Linked DNA regions of Drosophila melanogaster. Changing the gene in region 2 together with the main gene of any one other region gives a genetic interaction. Each region holds a gene or a part of one and is shown on either strand. Other genes may lie near its edges.

Region 1 (6,680 bases), about 15 Mb from region 2:
ATACAAATTGTAGTCTGCGTCACTGAATTCTGCATGCTTAATATTAATCATAGCATATAAATTTGTGTTGGTTACAAATAAAACTCATTTATCGAAGACTATAGGAGGGCAAAACATAGAATTGCTCTCATATACGATAATAATATTTCTTTATTTTATTCCGACACATACCCTCATATTATCCATAAGCTCGTCCTGACTCGAAGCGTTTTTGAGTTTGTTTAGATCATCTTCGACAATGTGGAGTGATTTTAAGAGCAAATGTACATCAACCATATCAGCTAAAATCAGCAAGCGGGTTACAGCTGACAACAGATTCCTAGCTGCGCGCACCATATTTCCTCTCTTCAGGGAACTGCACGGATCTTCAGAAAATTCTCTGGCTGCAATGCTCATAGCATCTCCAGTTTTTTTTACTTCATCCACAGCTGTTAACATTTCTTGTGTAATGTCTGGGTTCTCGTAAGCGATCTGTTCACCTTTTTGAATAAAATTTTCTGTAGCTTTTTCAACAGCTGCAACTAATGCGCTGGCCCGCTTTGATTTTCCTGCAAATACAAAATACAAATTAGAAACTATTAAAATTGAGAAGATTATTCGACAATGTTTATACGTTTTTTGATATTTTTAAACCACTTAAATATATATATATGTAAAAGTTGATTATTTCCTCTCGATCACCAAAGAAATTTACAAATGAGTCAACTTACCTAAATGAAGCTGCCAAACAGCTTAAAGTTTAAGATGGAAAACGCCGAGTCTACGAGCCTTAAATACTATTAATTCGAACGGCATCTGTTTTTTTGCAGAATGCAATATTCAACACACATTTTCAATACTATAATTGATTTAAACTTATTTGATTCCAAGGCCAAGGAAATTGTTTACGCTTCGTCAAAAAAAATCGTTTGCAATGGGGCTAGCGAAAATAGATTTTTATAAGAAAACAAAACGGCATTAAGTAATGATCAAATGATCACATTAATAAAATCGATTTTCGGGTCTTGCATCAGCCAGCAATGCCTAAATTTCTTATTTGTAAACATGCCAACTTTGGAGACACAACATTAAGCTCTACGGCATCTCAGATAGGCGATTATCTTTCGTTGTCTAAGCTACTCTCTCTCGCCCTCTATCTATCTTGTACTCTCGCACTTGCGAAAAAAAGTGTTTGGTCAATCGATAAAAATTTACAAGACTAAAAAAATTATAAAAAATTAGGGCGTAAGAGTGGGCGTGGCAAAAAATTTTAGGCACATAGAAAAATGGTTCAAAAATGTAGGCGTGTCAGTTTTGGGCGGTTTTAGGGCGGCTTTACCTTCTAGCTAATGTGTCGACGTTCATACGGACATGGCTAGATCGACTCGGCTATTGATCCTGATCAAGAATATATATACTTTATATAGTCGGAATTTAACGAATCTGGTATACTCTTTTACCATACAGTTTTGGCAAGTCTATAGAAATTTCCACGACTAATAAAAATATGAAAAAACTTCACATTTTTCCAAAGGTCAGGCGTAGCAGCTCTGGGCGGTAGAATAGGTGTGCCAACATGGGTCAACAAACTTGAGCTGCGTAAATGTCTTAATCTCAACCTTTTATAGTTCCTGAGAACTCGAGGTTCATACGAACGGACAGACAGAAGGGCGGACAGGGTCAGATCAAAGACACTAGAATAACAAGATGCGTAAGGGCCATACATTGGTTTTTCACTAAGCAGCTACTTGTTTGGTGACGGCCAAGATTGTGCTCTTTTCTCTCGAATAATATTGAGAGCGTAAAATAATAGACTTTGGTTGCTTGTGTGAGTAACGTTTAAACGTGAAAGTGTATATGTGTGCGTACTTGTGCTAGAAGACGATTTTCGGGCCGAAATCAATTTTGATCTAAGAAACGAATTAACATGTTTGGAGTTTTCAACAGGGGACTGGGAGAAGTTTTTTTTTACAGCATTAATATTAGGTTCATCAATATTTAAACTTATAAATGAAAAAAAGTTGCGATATGGAATAGTTATTATTACTTTTGTAGTTTAACACATACAGTTTAATACATTTAAAAAAATATATTTCATAAAAATAATACGAATAGGAAAAAATTATTTTTAAAATAATGCCAATTGACCAAAAATAATATAGATTTAAATTCCAAAAACTTCTGAAGTGTAGGGCATATTTTGTCAAATTTACAATGCATGAGTATTCGTGTACACACAAAAAGTTTTCGGCTGTCACTGTATGCGTAAAATGAAGTTGCTGGCTGAAGAGCTCTCCGAAATCTGGCTCTTGAACAAAAATTCAAGAGAGCTGGAGCCAGCCCAAAAAATATTTACTTTTAATGGTCGGGAACGCTTCCTTCTGCCTTTTACTCTACGAGTAACGGGTATAAAAACAGTAATTAAATAATATGAAGTAACAATTTATTGTATTTTAAGGGCCTGACAGCTGTTTACATCCTGTGATAGTTCTGTATATAGTTCTCCTGACCAAAATGGTTTTGCAAAAAGAATTGACATGACTTAAAACAAAAACTGGAATGGATGCTATAACCGAGTCCCCGACTATCAGATACCCCGTTACTCAACTAGAAGTGTGAAAGATTTCAATTTTTTTGGAAAATCGGTAAAAATTGAAAAAGAAATAATTATATTTAAACAAGAAATATATTTTTCAAAAAGTTTGGGCGGTTTGTGGGCCTGACAATAGGTATTTTGGCATATCAATAGATTTACAAGATCAATAAAATAGTATGAAAAATACCAAAACATTTTTGTGTGAAAACCAATTTTTGGGCGTTAGAGTGGGCGTTGCAAAACGTTTTTTGATAAATCGATTCTCTCCACGGTACATTTGTATACACTTTAATTAAGGAACGGAATCCATATCTCTTAAGCTACACATTAGGTTAAGTTCAGAAGGAACTGAACGATTCCTATTGACGTATGACTAATAATAAATGATAAACTCTAATAAAAAAAAAAGGTAAATCGATAGAAATTTAAAAGACTAATGAAAATATGAATTCATATGAAAACGCTTTGTCATACGGACAGAAAGTCGGACATGGCCAGATCAACTCGGCTATTGATCCTGATCTAGAATATATATTTTTTTTTTGGAACCGCTTTCTTCTACCTCATACTTAGTTTTCAACGAATCTAGTACCCCATTTTACTTTACGAGTAACAAATATATATTACAGCGAACCCCATAGTAAATTTCCTTGACTATCAGATACCTGTTACTCAGCTAGTGGCCAAGCGAACTATAAATTTGAACATTTTTATTGCATATCGATAGAAATTGGAAAGATATACATATAACAAAATGAAACACAATCAAAATATATGTAAATCACTAATAGGCTATTTTTTTATATTTTCGCAATTTTGCGTTTAAAGAGGTAAAAGATGCTTTCACATTCCTTTTCAGTTTTAAGCTTGTTACATGAATTCAAATGCTTTCTATCCTACAAAATTTAAGATGTCACAATATGTATGTATAGTATACACAGCCGTTTTAGAACATTTTCTATCATTTCTCGTATGTACACAATACTTATAATTAATAAAATTAAAATGAGTATACGCACAGTTATTCACGACTCGCAAAAAGTTTCTTTAAAATTGAAAGTTCTAATATTTAGGTTTTCTAGGCACTATAAGCTATAAACATTTTACCTTTTTTCTTTTTGCTTGGGCCCTTGGTATTTACAAGAGTAGTTACTTGTAATACAAGGGGTTCAAGTGTTTTTTCAACTGACATTGTGCGAATTTCCAAATTTTTGGGATCCCATTTCAAAGCTATCTGTCCGAAATCGGTTAACGTGCCCATTTTATCAGGTTTTAACATAAATTCTTTAACCGACGACGCCTTTTTCGATAATATGTAGTCCACTGATTATTAATAGTACCAGGATTGTAACTTTGCAGTGCTGTAAAGAATGCGGGCTTTAAATATATCATAGTCCCACTGAGCCACATGACCTACGTAACGTAACCAATATATAATGAATAAGTTAAATAGTTTTGTAGTTTTGAGTCCTGTGAGTCATTCTTTAGTAATGACTTTAAGAAAATAATTAAAATTGATTTTTGATGATTGAACTCTCGTGAAAAATATGTGATATTCAAGTATTGAAGACGATTGAGAAAAGTTTAATAATATTTTTAATTTTTACCAACAAAAATATTTCATTTAATGAATTAACATATTCCACACATATCAGGATTGTTGTTTTCTATGTTTATTATTATACCGGTTACTTGTAGAGTAATAGGGTATACCAGAATCGTTTAAAAGTTCCTAATAGGCTGATGGAAGCATTGGAACAATTGATCGGGATCAGTAGTCGACACGATCTGGTCGTGTCCGTCTGTCCGTCCGTATGAACGTCGAGATCTCAGGAACAATATAAGCTATAAAGCTTAGATTAACCATATGATATTAACCTAACGCCTAACGCTGCCACGCCCACACTTTTGAAAATTGTGTTGATATATATTTTCATATATTTATTAGTTTTGTAAATTTCTATTGATTTGTCATAAAACTTTTTGCCACGCCCACTCTAACGATACAAACCGACCAAAAAACGACCACGCCCACATTTTTGAACAATTTTAAATATTTTCTCATTGCATTCACCAATTTCTATCCGTGTCCCAGAAAAATTATGATATTTCGCGATCATATTGCCTCTAGCTGAGTAACGGATATTTAATAGTCGGGAAAGTCTACATAGCATTTTTTCTTGTTATTATTGAAAAAAAATCCTTTCGACATATAAACAAAATGTAACAAAAATGCATGACTACTTCAGAAGATTATATCGTTCCCGGCGGCTTGAAATTATTATGACAGCCTAACATAAAACCTGTGCGACAAGCATGCATAAAAATTACGTATATAAAATAATATATTCCTTAGATGTAAAAAAAAATATTTATGTGCATGATTTTTGAGTTCCCATTCTATACCAGCATCGCTTAATACTGGCATGTCACATATAAAATAATATGACATCTGCCTGTTATGAATACATATATTTTTATGTTTGAGTCAACATCGAGTTGCCGATGTTTGGAAAACATCGATGACATCGCTGTTGGCATCGAAATATGTCCATATCTAATATATAGTTCCATTCTGTTTTATTGGATTGAGTAAAGTTAGGTAATTTTTTATAAATGTGTTTCTTTCTTACATATTAAATACATTTTAATTATAACGTAGACAAAATGCAAGGTCTTGGTCTGCAAAGTCTTAAAAAAAATCCAGCTGTAAGTTTTATGATTATATTAAGTTATCTGTTGATTGCATAACAAAAATTTGTTCAGTTAATTCCACTTTATGTGTGCGTTGGAGCGGGAGCTATTGGAGCCGTCTACTATATGGCTCGACTTGCTACTCGTAATCCCGATGTCACTTGGAATCGCACATCAAATCCCGAACCATGGCAAGAGTACAAAGAAAAGCAATACAAGGTTAGATTTGCTCCTTAATATTCATATTCTATTTTCATATTTTAATGGGCCAAGAAAAGCCCTCGACCGTGGTTTTGTTAATAACCAAATTTGCTTATAGATATATGTATTTTTGCAATTTTTTACTTTTTTGGCGATTTAACCGACATGCCATAACCATTACACATATATATTTCACGAATATATACTATGTTGTAGTTGTAGTTATACCCGTTACTCGTAGAGTAAGATGTTATACTAGATTCATTGAAAAGTATGTAATAGGTAGAAGGCAGAGTTTTCACCATATGAAGCCTATATATTCTCGATCAGGATCAATATCCGAGTCGATCTGACGCTGTCCGTCCGTCTGTATGAATGTCGAGATCTCAGGAACTATACAATCTAGAAGGTTGAGATTAAGCATACAGATTCTAGAGAAATACCCGCAGCGCAAGTTTGTTGGCCTATGTTGCCACGCCCACAAATCTTCAAAAACTGCCACATTTTTTCACATTTTTATTAGTTTTTTAAATTTTGATTGATTTCCCAAAAATTTTATTCACCAATATCTATCGATATCCCAGACAAATCATGAAATTTCGCTATGGCATTTTAACTAGCTGAATAACGGGTATCTGATAGTCGAGGAAGTCGACTATTTTGTACAGTGATACTTTTTTTCACTTTTATTATTTGTCTCGCAAAACAATTCCCAATAACCGTAAACACCGCCTGTTAACAATCTCTAAACGGAGATATTTGCGTATATCAACTAGCTAATAACAAATTATTAAAACACCATACTCACCATTCTTTATGGCAGAAAAAATGTATATATATATATATATATGGGTAATTTAGGTAAATAGGTAAAATAAGTGAAATTAAGAAATGATGGGGTGTCATTAGTGCGTATTAAGGAATAATTCAACCCTTAAATAAAAAGGAAGAGGGATATGCTTCAATATGTAGTGATTGCGACTTAAACGCCAATCAAACCCTTTAATTTTATCAATTTTATAATAATCTAGTTATTTAAAACTATGAAAAAAAAATAAAGATCACAAAAATGTTCTAACATTTAATATTTTATAGCAATTCGGACGCAATGCGGGAGAACTTATCATTTATTTTGTCGACAGTGACTAACCAGAAATGTAGGGATCGCCAGAGATTTACACAGGGTCTAAAACGTTCGCTTCAGATAAAT
Region 2 (6,746 bases):
GAGATCTCCAAACTGCTCCTGAGTCTTCAGCCAGACACAGATCCTCTTGCCATGATTCTAGTGATTGACTACTATGCCTTGCGCAGCAAGCAGTTTGAATGGTTGGTAGAGTTCTATGAAAAGTATAACGCCGCGAGGAACCTCAATCAGCTGCCCAATATGGCCTACTCGTATGCTTTGGCTCTACACACGCTCTATGGCGCTTGTGAACGCTCTAACCAGGCACTGCAATACGCCCTACTAATGTTCCCGGGTGTTTTACGTCCTCTTTTGGACGAGATGTCGGTGCAAACGGACAAGAGGGTCCTGGCCTCATCGTACTTCTTTGCAGATGTGTCGGGCAAGTAAGTGGAGTCTTATCTCCGTGAATGATTAGTGGTATGGAATTTAATGTCTTATCTTGTTTACCAGTCAATCGCCCGCCCTGCACCAGCTGGTGTGCCTGTATGTGTGCCGTGCAAGAGTCGTTTGGCGTCAGAACGAGGTGCTACCCTGGTTGGAATCCAACGTGAACATAGTGTTAGATCGCATTGAGAGTAAGGATCCCCTGGTTAATGAGTACAAGGAGAAGCGATCACTGCGATATAGTGGAACACCACCAAGGCCCATTCTTCGACATGTCATACTCTCCGATTACAAGGAGAAAGTTCCACTGGCGGTCTTCGTGTCCAAGGAGAAGCAAGCCATTATGACCTATGATCCACTGCCGCCACCGAACAGCGTCAACTGCTATCATCGGTATGTCGTTCGAATCGGCTCAAAGTTAGTAAATTCTAAAAACCAGTACTTGCAGAAAATCTTCGTCAAGCAGCAGCCCCACAACGAACACGAACAATTCTGTGTCAATGTTCTTTCAATCGCTCTTGCCTTCGTTTAACATTAACAACCTAGCTGCAAATGCTCAGCTACAAGAAGGAGCAGCACCAGCAGCAGGTGCGGGAGCAGCTGCAGGCGATGCTAACATTGAAGTGGGCATTGAACAAGGAGCTGCCGGCGTAGCTGGCGAAGGAGAAGGTTCGTATGAGCATTATTAAAAATATCTTGAGATAAAACCGATTTTGTCGCCCCCGTTTCGTCACAGAGCATGAATCTTAGAATATGTTTCGCTGGTTGTATTATGGCTTTGCTTAATTTCGTTCATATCCCGAAATTGTATTAAAGCTTTGGCTTTTGTTTCAATAACTTGGCTAAAAGCGATATTTTGTTTCTCATTCTTAAAATCGTCAAAAATCTAACCTAAAATTATGCTGAAATTCCAAAAGAATCGCTAGCGGATATCGTAGTTACACTTCTCCTCCAACATTATTGCAGAAGCTGGTTTGCAGCAGTCATTAACGCTAATGATGGACGCGATGCGAGACTTCCTGCAAAACTTCCGGATTGCAGAGCACTTGCGTTCGCCGGAAACGGCGGCGGCACAATCCACGAGCAGCAACGACGAGGAGGAGGGCTCCAGTGACTACATTGACTAGTCAGTTTGTCAATTACGCGAGGCGTAACGAAGTTGTTTCGGATTTCTAGCTCGGGACATGTTTTTTGGAAACCACCTTTTGCTATTTTCTCAGCTTAGCGACACCGTCACAAAATTTATATATACAATACATAGAGCAATTTGAACACAAAAAAATATATATATGTAACTTATGCATTGAATAAAATTTTCCAGTAAAAGCTTTAGATCGAAAGCGACGAAAGTGTTTGAGCTTAAAGAATGTTTTATTGATTTATTTAATGCCTTTTTAATTACGCTTATCAATATAACAAACAGATTTCTCATCAATATTTCTTTTCGTTTTTCCTTTTTTGTTCATTCAGTGTTTGAATTGGTTGCAGTTATTGCAATTATAAATATTTCTATGACAAGTAGAGCGTTTTCGTATTTAATTGTGTATAGAGCCGGGATTTCTCCAAGAGCTTAGATCGGTGTGACTGTGTGTGATCGTGTTTGAGTATGGTATAAAAGTCGACTTCTAGAAATAATGCACCTTAGATAGGGGGTTGAACTGGCAGACATCGGAGTTGTTGCTTTATAGTTAGCCTAACAAAATCACACGAAATTAAACAGAACGAAACTGATTTACACAGAGTTAATAGCTAAACACATATAGAAAAGAATAATTACTAATACTTTAGCGTGGAATACCGAATCGCAATGTATATATATATATATATAGTTGGAGAATAAATCAATAAATCAATTTTAAATGGAAAAATAAATCAAAAATAACTGCTGCAAGCCGATTGGATCGGATCAATTATGTCATGGTGCCAAAGACGGGATTGTGACGGCAAATGCTGGGGCCATACTCCTCGTAGGCAGCCTTCGTGTGACACACCTGATAGAACTCGGGCTAGAAATGGGAAGAATATTGAGATAAAGGATTTTACGGATCTTAGGCCACTATAACTTACCGTTGAAGCCAACATGCTGCCTCCAAACCACACGGCGTACCTCTGCATGTGGTGCGTAATCACCTGAACATCAATGGGTTTTGGCTGTAACAAAAATAATCAAAGTAAGAAGTATGACTCATTAGCAGCTGTGATATCACCCACCTTAATGCGTCCCTCGGACAAATTCTCGCTGATCCGGAGACGTGTGTCCACCGATCGCTTGATATCTCGCTGCAACCTCCTGCCGAAGTCCTTGAACATCGTTGATCCACCGCTCAGAACAATGTTATTGTATAGAGGACGCCGCACATCGATTGGGCAGTTTTGGATGACATTATCCACTATTTCCGACAGTGGAATGGTAAAGTCGGGGTTTGAGAACTCGGGATGGAAGAAGATCTCGGGTCCCAGGAATCGCTCGTAGCCCACGTCCACATTGAACGGCGCCTTGGTTACCGTGTTAACGCCGCTAAAGTTGCGTATCCACTTGCCCGGCTCCGTGTCGTACTTGGCAAATTCTTTGGCGATATCGGGACAGATGTAGCAGTGCTTCTCCTTGATCGCTTTAGCAGTCTCGAGGCTCTGTTCCGGCGGAATGCCCACCTCCCGTTCGCGTAGCAGGCTCTGGATGAACGAGGTGATATTGCGGCCCGCGATGGGAATGTGCTTGATGCAGGAGCCGATCACATAGCCCTCGGCCTAGAAATGAAAAACAGCTTAATATATTTATATGGTTATAACTAATACGCTATTTTATCTTAATAATTCCCTCTTAATATAACATTCTGTAGTATTAATAATAGCCTCAGAATGTGCTATTTATTTATTAAATAAATCCGTCGACTGTTTCGGTTTTGGGTTCTCTTTTCAAACAGTTTTTACCGAATCCAGTGCCAACCCAACTCTGCTGATAAGATAAGATCTGTGCTACTTACCACGGGTATGACGTGCGTCACTCCATCGCCGCTGTCCACCACGATGCCTGTAAGGGTACGCTCCTCTGCGGACCGGGAGGCCCAACTGGCGGCTAGGGCAAGCACCGCCTGGACGGCGATATACAGACCAGGAACGTTGAACGTCTCAAACATTATCTCCGCGGTGTACTCCCGATTTTCGGGCGTATTTAGCGGCGGCTCAGTCAGCAGGAAGTAGTGATCCTCAGGCTCGGCGCGCAGATACTTAAAGACGCACTGCTCCAGAAAGCGCTCCATCAAGTCCCAGTCCTCCACCAGACCATGACGCACCGGATACTATTGGAATGCAATGATAAATGTGATGTCGGTTGCTTAATGACCATAGATACAAGAGCATACCTTGATGGAGTAGCCGGTGGCATCGAAGGCCTCATCGCCGATGAAGAAGTCCAGGTCCTCGATGCCCTTTGTGATGCGCCGTGTGTTGGTGTCTCCCACTCGTGCCGACTCCTTGATGGCAATCGCCGAGGGAATAATGAACTGCGGCTCTTTATTCCCGGCAAATCCCAGTTTGGAGTAGCTGATGGATGTGCAGACAAGCAGAGTGTTAGTCAGTCGACCTCCTTTCCGTCCAATTGGAGACCCCCACGGGCAATCGAAACTAAAAACTCACCCGGTGCCCACATCGATTACGCATGCCGGTAGCCTGCCTGCCATGGTCGCTGCTCGTCCTTTTGCCTTGCTGCCAGTTAAAGCTCTTCAGTTGCGATCTTCGCTCGCCTTTAACACAAATTTCCCTTCGTTTCAGTTGCAGATAAACCCAGATTTCTATATATTTTCAACCACACCTCCAACTATGTGTCACTTTGCTCTTCGTCACACACACATTCGCGTGTTCACGTACGAGCAGCTGCCAGGGCTGCAACAATCGATTGGCCATGCAACTTGAATGGCAATTTATCGGGAATTGTGAAAAGTCGCTGTTTTTTAAGCCTTTAAATATAGTTACCTTATGAAGCAAGTGGTCTATATATAAATGGTGCCTAGATTTTCCGCAGCGAAGGCTTTTCAATATTGCTCGAATTTTTGGCTAAACTGTTACCGGCGAACATAATGCAGCCCTGTAGGGCCCCATACACTGCGGCGTTAGTCAACACACACAGGCGCTGTTTCTTCTTCTTCTAAGCTTCGTTCGTCTCGCGAATTTCGGCGGTGTGTGTGTGCGTGTGTGGAGTCTTTTCCACGTTTTTTCCTCCGGAAAAAGAGATTTGCAATTTGGCCCACACATTGGAGCCACTGGTTCGGCTAGCATAAACCAAGGTCTATATAAAGGCAAGAACAGCGGGTGCACAGTGGGCACAAGGTGACCGCCAAACGACGAAGTGCAGCAGAAAGACCGGCGAAACATAGAATCAAGCAAAAGTAGCAAAAATGGAGGCACAAAAACTCACGGAACTGTTGCGCGCAACTATTGATCCGAATCCGGAACAGCGCAAGGCGGCCGAGGATCAACTGGCCCAGGTGAGTTTGCTCCCAAAAATAAACGCCTGCACTTGAATTCGAAAGGTCTTTGGAGGTGGCGCCATCGCCTGAAAACCATGTGCTTTTTTAATTGTTCGCTTTTAACCTCCCTCGCTCCCGCACTTCATCACTCTGGTCGTTGTACAAGTGTGTGGGTGTGGATAGTGTAATCCGATATCGGTCAAAAAGTTTGCCCTTTATGTGTTTACCATTATCCCGACTTCTATGTTGTTGCCCCAGAGGCAACAAGTCGATATCTTTGGGGCACCTACATATGTATGTATGCTATATATATTTCTATATGTGTACATATTTATTGCGAGTTTCGTGTGATTCTTCGGAAATCCACTGAATTGTTAATAAATATTTAATTGAGACTTTCGAAATATCGCCGGAATGCCCTTTGATTGAAGCTTACGCAATTCCCTTGGAAATAAATGTGGGCAATCAGAGCGGCCAGTCTAATTAGACCCCACCCCACTAACCAATTGCTTTGGCCCCACTGTAGAGGCATGCTCATTACGACTGAGTCAGCATCTAACGATTTGCATGCCCCTCCCAATCGCCTCCCACCAACCCCCCTGTTGTCAATTAACTTTATCAGCGCTTATGGCCAGCAGTTGTTCTTGGCTCCTCCATATTAATTGAGCTCTGTGAACGGAATTTAAAGTGCTTCTGCCATTGATTCTTTGACCAATTCAAATTTAACCCAACCCCAAACAGCTGTGTAAACATATCCATTCTATTTTATTTCTATACATTAAAATCCCCACAGATACACAAAATCATCGGATTTGTGCCCACCATACTGCAGATCGTTATGCAGACGACGGTGGAACAGCCGGTGCGCCAGGCCGGTGCTGTCTACCTCAAGAATCTGATCAACAGCAGCTGGTCGGACCACGAGGCCAAGCCTGGAGAGCCAATACCCTTCTCTATACACGAACAGGATCGGGCTATGATCCGTGGCGCTATTGTAGATGCTATTGTGCACGCCCCCGAGTTGATTAGGTGGGTAAATCCATTGAAAATCCTTTCCAGGGGGCTAATTTCGTTCTGTACACAGGGTCCAGTTGTCTGTCTGCGTCAATCACATCATTAAAAGCGATTTCCCTGGACGCTGGCCACAGGTGGTGGATAGCATCAGCATATATCTGCAAAACCAGGATGTCAACGGCTGGAACGGAGCTCTGGTAACCATGTACCAGCTGGTCAAGACCTACGAGTACAAGCGGCATGAGGAGAGGACGCCGCTAAACGAGGCAATGAACCTACTGTTGCCCATGATCTACCAGCTGATGGTCCGACTGCTGGCAGAGCAGTCCGAGCAATCTGTGCTGCTACAAAAGCAAATTCTCAAGATCTACTATGCCCTCACGCAATACACCCTTCCACTGGACCTCATTACCAAGGAGATCTTCTCGCAGTGGATGGAGATCTGTCGTCAGGTGGCTGATCGCGCAGTGCCCGATAGCTCGCACCTGGACGATGATGAGCGAACGGAGTTCCCCTACTGGAAGACTAAGAAGTGGGCCCTGCACATCATGGTTCGCATGTTCGAGCGGTACGTTGACGGCAGTATCTATAGTCATAGTCTAGATAACTAACGTTGTATGTATAAATTTAGTTATGGCAGTCCCAGCAATGTGGTTAGTGAAAAATACCAAAAATTCGCAGAGTGGTATCTGCCCACGTTTAGCCAGGGCGTGCTGGAGGTGCTCCTCAAGATCCTCGACCAGTACCGAAACAGAGTCTACGTCTCACCACGCGTCCTCACTGATGTGCTCAACTATCTGAAGAATGCGTAAGTAATTTAGTATTCTATAAATTCTCATGTGACATTTGATATATAGTTGGAATGTAAAATCGATGTTACTTAATTAGGAGATACCTAATCTTTGATAGAAAGTCTGAAAA
Region 3 (6,498 bases), 3.8 Mb from region 2:
CCCATAGACAGAGCGGAAAAAACAAAAAAAAAAATAAATAATAATAATAATAATAATGTGGAGACCCGGCACTGGGAATCCGATGGATCGAAGTGGAATGTGGGGTCTTTGGCGAAACAGAACGCAAACTATGAGGAAAATAAAAACAACAAGAAAGCAGATATATCCGAAAAATATACATACATAAATATACATATATATATGTGTGTGCAGCACATATTGAATTGAGGCGCACGCTGCTGCTGCTGGCCGTGCTCATATGGCAGTAATTTACATAAAACCCGCAAAACCAGTTTTTTTTTTTATAAAGTTTCGAGTTCCAACTTGGTCGGCAGACGGAAAGAGACGGCAATGCAGCGGCTGAGAGAGACGGACGCTTTAAGCGTGCGTTCTTAAAACATTTGCCTGCACTTTGGCTTATGGGAAGCAATTTGTTAAATTCTCACTGCTCGAGCATTTGAGTGGATTTCCTATGGGTAAACCGATGACATTGAAATAATAATTAATTGACACGCTTAAGTTCACTGAGATTGGGTATCCAATTAGAAAATGTAGGGTTTTCTGACAGGAACAATGTGTCAGTTGGTTTTAAAAAACCGGAATTTCGAGCTTATTTTCTGGTAGTTGTAAAATATTTGAGAAGTTTAATTGCATTTACCAAGTGCTTGGCAAAACAAAAATGTTTAATTAATTAAAATTGTGTGGCTTGCAATTTGTAATTTTTGATGAGTGCTTACAATTTCTTAATAAGACCAATGTTGTCGTTTCTATCTATATTTTAGGTTTGGAGCCTTTCAATATATATAGCCTATCTGAAGATAAGCGCCTCTTTAATATCCAAGAATATAGGAGGTAATGGAAGCTCAAAGAAGCTGGGGTCGGAAAAATCGAATTTTTGAAATTTGAAAGCTGGAATCGTTTGCCCATTTTTTGCCCATGTTTGCCCACCAATTAGTTTTTTTTGCCCACGTCCAGTTTTTGAGATATGAATTTTCGAAAAAGTTCGAAAATTTTCGAAAATCAAAAATTTCGCTTTTTTCAAATTTTTTTTTTTTAAATCGCAATAACATCGTTTGCCCACGTTTGCCCACCCTTTAGAATTTTGAAAAAATTTATACTTTAGAAAATATAAGGCTTTTAAGTTTACCTCGGTCTAATCAGAGAGTAAATCGTTTGCCCATCTCTTAAAACCAAATATTATCAACAAAAAACGTTTGCCCAACCATTATTATTAGTTTTTATCGTTTGCCCACCCTTTAAAAAACCTTTAACAAAAATTTTTTTTCGATTGCCCACACTTGAAATACAACTAATTTCGTTAGCCCACCTCTTCAAAATAAAACTTTTCAATAAAAAACGTTTTCCCACCATTTAAAAATAAATAATTTCGATTGCCCACCTTTTAAAACTAAATAATTTCGTTTGCCCATCCTTTAAAATTCATTTTTAACGTTTGCCCACCCTTTAAAATTTGTTTTTTTCGTTTGCCCACCTCTTAAAAATGGTTTTTTCGATTTTTCACCTATTAAAACTAAATTTGTACATATGTACATATGTAATAATTGTAAGATGTGGCGCCAAAAGCACAGTTACTTACAAAAGAACAGTTATTTACATATTTACATACATTTTCAATATATCCATAGTGTTAATCATTCATGAATTGTAACATCAATTTTTCTTAATCATTGTTTCATTTCATGGAAAATATTTTATTCCAGAATTTTCTTGAGCTTGGAGAGTGTTGATAAACATACATACATTTTTTTGCATATATATTATATTGCAATATAAAATATTTTCCATGAAATGAAACAATGATTAAGAAAAATTGATGTTACAATTCATGAATGATTAACACTATGGATATATTGAAAATGTATGTAAATATGTAAATAACTGTTCTTTTGTAAGTAACTGTGCTTTTGGCGCCACATCTTACAATTATTACATATGTACATATGTACAAATTTAGTTTTAATAGGTGAAAAATCGAAAAAACCATTTTTAAGAGGTGGGCAAACGAAAAAAACAAATTTTAAAGGGTGGGCAAACGTTAAAAATGAATTTTAAAGGATGGGCAAACGAAATTATTTAGTTTTAAAAGGTGGGCAATCGAAATTATTTATTTTTAAATGGTGGGAAAACGTTTTTTATTGAAAAGTTTTATTTTGAAGAGGTGGGCTAACGAAATTAGTTGTATTTCAAGTGTGGGCAATCGAAAAAAAATTTTTGTTAAAGGTTTTTTAAAGGGTGGGCAAACGATAAAAACTAATAATAATGGTTGGGCAAACGTTTTTTGTTGATAATATTTGGTTTTAAGAGATGGGCAAACGATTTACTCTCTGATTAGACCGAGGTAAACTTAAAAGCCTTATATTTTCTAAAGTATAAATTTTTTCAAAATTCTAAAGGGTGGGCAAACGTGGGCAAACGATGTTATTGCGATTTAAAAAAAAAAAATTTGAAAAAAGCGAAATTTTTGATTTTCGAAAATTTTCGAACTTTTTCGAAAATTCATATCTCAAAAACTGGACGTGGGCAAAAAAAACTAATTGGTGGGCAAACATGGGCAAAAAATGGGCAAACGATTCCAGCTTTCAAATTTCAAAAATTCGATTTTTCCGACCCCAGCTTCTTTGAGCTGGTAATGGACACCTTAATGATTCTGATCAAGCTAAACTACGAATTTGTTTTGATTTTTAGCTATAGGTATACATTCATACTCCTCAAACAAGCAGAACTATGTATTTGTTGCTTATAGGAACCCCCTGTTTTATCAATGAAATACGACTTCTTATCTGAAGATATAGCCCCTCTAAATCCAGGAAAAACTCACCCATAGCTCGGTGCCCCAACTCATGTTGTTGGAGTTTTGCGCTGAGTTTTCCGATTCGGCCAGTTTGTTGTTGCTGCTGCTTCTGCTCGATCCGCTTGCCACTGTATTTGTTGTTGCCGTCGTTGTTGTTGTTGTTTTAATAATAATAATCCACAGAAGATAATGTAATCCACAGACGATGAGGAGAGAGGGAGAAAGGTAGAAAGCGAGGGAGAAGAGCAAAAGATGAGAACTTTTATTCGTTTTTGTTTTATATTTTCCCGCAAAGGTTAATTAATTTTATGGCTGCTTTTTCGTTTTCATTTTCCGTTTGTTTTTCTATATTTTTTTCAGCGTTGCGCGGCGCGATGTTTAATTTTCTATGAAAGAGAGCAATTCGAGTCAGATATATTTCATTTTTGTTTTTTTTTTTTTCGGTGGTTGGGCAGGTAAGAAAGCATGTAAAAACAAAAAAGAGTGGCAATGCAGACGTGTCAGTTGCAGCGGCAGGTAGAAAAATGAAGTTGAAGGAAATTATAGATAATGAGAATTTAAACACTTTTTTTGGGAGTTGTTTAGTGATAAGTGCAAAATAAGAAAATTCTATGCACTGGCATTTCGATGCGCAAAGAGAGTGAGGAGAGAGAGGGAGCGATAGAGATAGAGAGCGATGCAACTGCATTTCATAATTGAGAAAAGCAGAAAGAGAGGACAATTGGAATTCTACTATTGTTGTATTTACATAATTTCGCACACACACGCACACAAGTAAACGCAATTGCCGAATGCACGCACTCTGCTTCTAGATCTGCCACCGTTTTTTTTTTTGTTATTTGTGCTAACTTTTTTTTTAGCATTTGCTTTGCAGTTGCAACTTCTTTCGATTTTGGGTTTTATTTAGCGCCTGCACTTTCGCATGCGTCATAATTCGGGCGACATTTGCACACACACACAAGCACACAGTTAAAACACCCGCACTCACACAACGCAAGCATTTGTTTCTCCTTTTTGGCGTGCGAAAAAACAATTTTATCCGCTCGCAACTTTCCGCTCGTTTTTTCACTTCGGCATCAATACACAGTGTGACCGCAATGTGTTTGAATAGGCACACCTCTGCGTTTGCAGTGTGACCAGAGACCGATGGCGACCTAATTTCTAACTCTTTAACATCTAGCGGGGATATGAACCCATATTGAGAGCAACTGTAAAGTTTAATTATTATTATATAAAATATATGAAACTTTCGTTAATACGTGCCCCCATTTTTTTTTATAATTTAACGTTAATTGTAGACTTTTTAAATATATTATTGTGGCCTTGAAAACTAATAATTTTATGGAATAACATAACGTTGAAACAGATGAAGAAAGCTATTATTGAGCTTGGAAGAAACTTCTTATTATTGTTTATTGCTTTTAAAGTAACAAGAGCATCGCTTATTGTTGTATATAATATATTAATTTGAACATTAAATTCACTGGAGCAATAGATTTTGGCACACTGTAAGGTGTAAGCATGTGCGCCAGGCGCTAGATCATTTTTAGTACTTTCCTTGCATCAGCTGTTAACACTATCAGCTGGTGGGTCAACAATTACATTAGATTTACTAACTTTTTAATGAATTAAAACTTGAGAGAAACAACGTTAATATAAGAAATTAAATTCCTTACCAGCTCATACAATTCACCGGTCACAATGCCTTCTTACGAACTAGCACTGGTGCTCCGCCAATTGCCTCGCGTGAGTAGCACATGAAATCCACCGGCAGTTACATAAAAGTAAATAAGAATTGTACACCGCCCGCAGCCCGAACTGATTTCCGTGATTAGGCGAACGGCCGAGTCCATCCTGGACAAGGGCGGCATTATCCGGAAGCTGGAGAACCTGGGATCCCGCGCCCTGCCCCACAAAGTCAGCGAACACGGGGTGGTTCACCGGGAAGGCACCCACTTCACCATCGCCTTTGATACGGCGCCCACTAAGATCGCAGACTTGAAGGAGGAGTTTGGCCGCGACATCGACATCATACGGCGCTACATCTTCAAGGTGGAGGAGCCCGAGCAGAAGCCCTGCACGCTGCACGAGGAGATGCTGCCACCCGCGTATCGCAAGGATGTGCAGGAGATCATTGCGGCCGCCCAGAAGAAGCAAAAGAAGAAGTTCAACTACAACTCCGGCCTGGACTACTATCCCTTCCAAAAATAAAACACCAAATAAAACGCGTTAATTATGTATGCTAAAACCGGTTGTGGGTTCCTCGATCTTTGGCTAATTCAAACTGAAGCATTCCTTATGAAATGCGCCTGTTATCTTAGTACTTTTCACAATGTTTGTCTTTGTTTGGTTTATGGCGCCCAATCGGACGCTTATCAATTAATTGATAAAGCTCCGTATAATCGACCATCAATAGAACGTAAATTGTCCAGGTAGTGCCTCAAGAATCGTCGAGCAGTTCACTAGTACTTCCTCCTGACCGCAAACGACCTAGAAATGTCACCGCAAATCCGTCCACTTACGCCAGAGCTGCAAAAAGTTGCCAAGGAGCAGCTCAAGGAGGATCCCGAACGTCTCGAAGCCGATCTGCAGGCGTTTAAGACATGGATCGAGCAGCAGCCGCATCTAAATCCCCGAATGGATGATCAGTTTCTGGTGGCTTTCTTGCGCGGCTGCAAGTACAGTTTGGAGCGGGCCAAGTCCAAGTTAGATAAGTACTACACGCTGAAGACCAAGTATCCGGACTATTTCCGAGTTACCAACACCACGGATAGCAAGTTCCGGGAGATTCATCAAACGGGGTAAGGATTTTGACGCCAGCTAACTAATTTAATTTATCAATGCAATTCTGTCAATTCAGTGCCATCATCTACCTGCCCACTCCGCTGAATGAAAATGGACCTCGCATCGGGATCTGGCGCATGGGATTGGTGCCAGTGGAGAAGTACACAATGCTGGAGTGCATGCAAGTGGCCCAGGCAATGCAGGAGATTGCCATTTTGGAGGACGACTACGCCAATGTCAATGGAGTAGTTTTCATTATGGACATGAAGGGTGCCACCGCCGCACACTTGTTCCAGATGACGCCGTCGATGGCCAAGAAATTCACTGTCTTCTCGGAGGAGGCACTTCCACTGCGTCTGAAGGCACAGCATTTCATCAACACCATCACCGGATTCGAGCAGCTGTTCAACATGTTCAAGCCAATGATGTCCAAGAAAATGCAGTCTCGCCTATTTGTGCACGGCAACAAAATGGGGCTCTTGACGGAGCAGATTCCACTGAAATATCTGCCCGAGGAATACGGCGGCGAGAATGGCACCACGCAGGACATCGTGGCCGCCATGGAGAAGAAGTTGGACGAGTACGCCGATTTCTTCCAGGAAAATGTGAACTTCGGCACCGACGAGAGCCTGCGTCCCGGAAAACCAATCGATTTTGAGGGGCTTTTCGGAGTAGAAGGTTCCTTTAGAAAGCTCAACGTGGACTAGTTTCAGTTTGTAACTTTAAAGATTTTATTTTCTTATCAGCCAGTTGAAAAAGTTGTCCAATTTAGTGGCTAGAAAACACATTCGCATCAGTTGAATTGTAAAATCCAATAGTAGGAATGATAATATAGGAATACATGAATATGCTACGATACTTCGCAGCAGTTTTAGGTTTCTCCTATATAAACATTGTCCTTT

What was found.
Region 1: of Arp3 (region 2) and alpha-Cat, changing one suppresses a phenotype caused by changing the other (phenotypic suppression), as found in Drosophila melanogaster (one study listed by BioGRID).
Region 3: of Arp3 (region 2) and Cip4, changing one enhances a phenotype caused by changing the other (phenotypic enhancement), as found in Drosophila melanogaster (one study listed by BioGRID).

The regions. Positions count from the first base shown.
Region 1 is NT_037436.4:23,334,193-23,340,872, forward strand, and holds the start of alpha-Cat (alpha catenin), read right to left. Parts: upstream 3,909-6,680; 5' UTR 3,855-3,908; coding exon 3,683-3,854; intron 549-3,682; coding exon 172-548; intron 1-171. Other genes in the region: ND-MLRQ (NADH dehydrogenase (ubiquinone) MLRQ subunit), read left to right, coding at 5,243-5,284, 5,342-5,488. UniProt on the Drosophila melanogaster protein: Associates with the cytoplasmic domain of a variety of cadherins. The association of catenins to cadherins produces a complex which is linked to the actin filament network, and which seems to be of primary importance for cadherins cell-adhesion properties.
Region 2 is NT_037436.4:8,111,701-8,118,446, forward strand, and holds Arp3 (Actin-related protein 3), read right to left. Parts: upstream 4,203-6,746; 5' UTR 4,026-4,202; coding exon 3,982-4,025; intron 3,889-3,981; coding exon 3,708-3,888; intron 3,645-3,707; coding exon 3,330-3,644; intron 3,094-3,329; coding exon 2,557-3,093; intron 2,497-2,556; coding exon 2,413-2,496; intron 2,352-2,412; coding exon 2,256-2,351; 3' UTR 1,707-2,255; downstream 1-1,706. Other genes in the region: Nulp1 (nuclear localized protein 1), read left to right, coding at 1-344, 412-738, 794-1,014, 1,312-1,472; msk (moleskin), read left to right, coding at 4,740-4,829, 5,605-5,840, 5,896-6,393, 6,457-6,633. UniProt on the Drosophila melanogaster protein: Functions as ATP-binding component of the Arp2/3 complex which is involved in regulation of actin polymerization and together with an activating nucleation-promoting factor (NPF) mediates the formation of branched actin networks.
Region 3 is NT_037436.4:4,360,188-4,366,685, forward strand, and holds the start of Cip4 (Cdc42-interacting protein 4), read right to left. Parts: upstream 3,788-6,498; 5' UTR 3,676-3,787; coding exon 3,561-3,675; intron 2,941-3,560; coding exon 2,840-2,940; intron 1-2,839. Other genes in the region: mRpS6 (mitochondrial ribosomal protein S6), read left to right, coding at 4,514-4,558, 4,625-5,023; CG33514 (uncharacterized protein), read left to right, coding at 5,309-5,613, 5,673-6,303.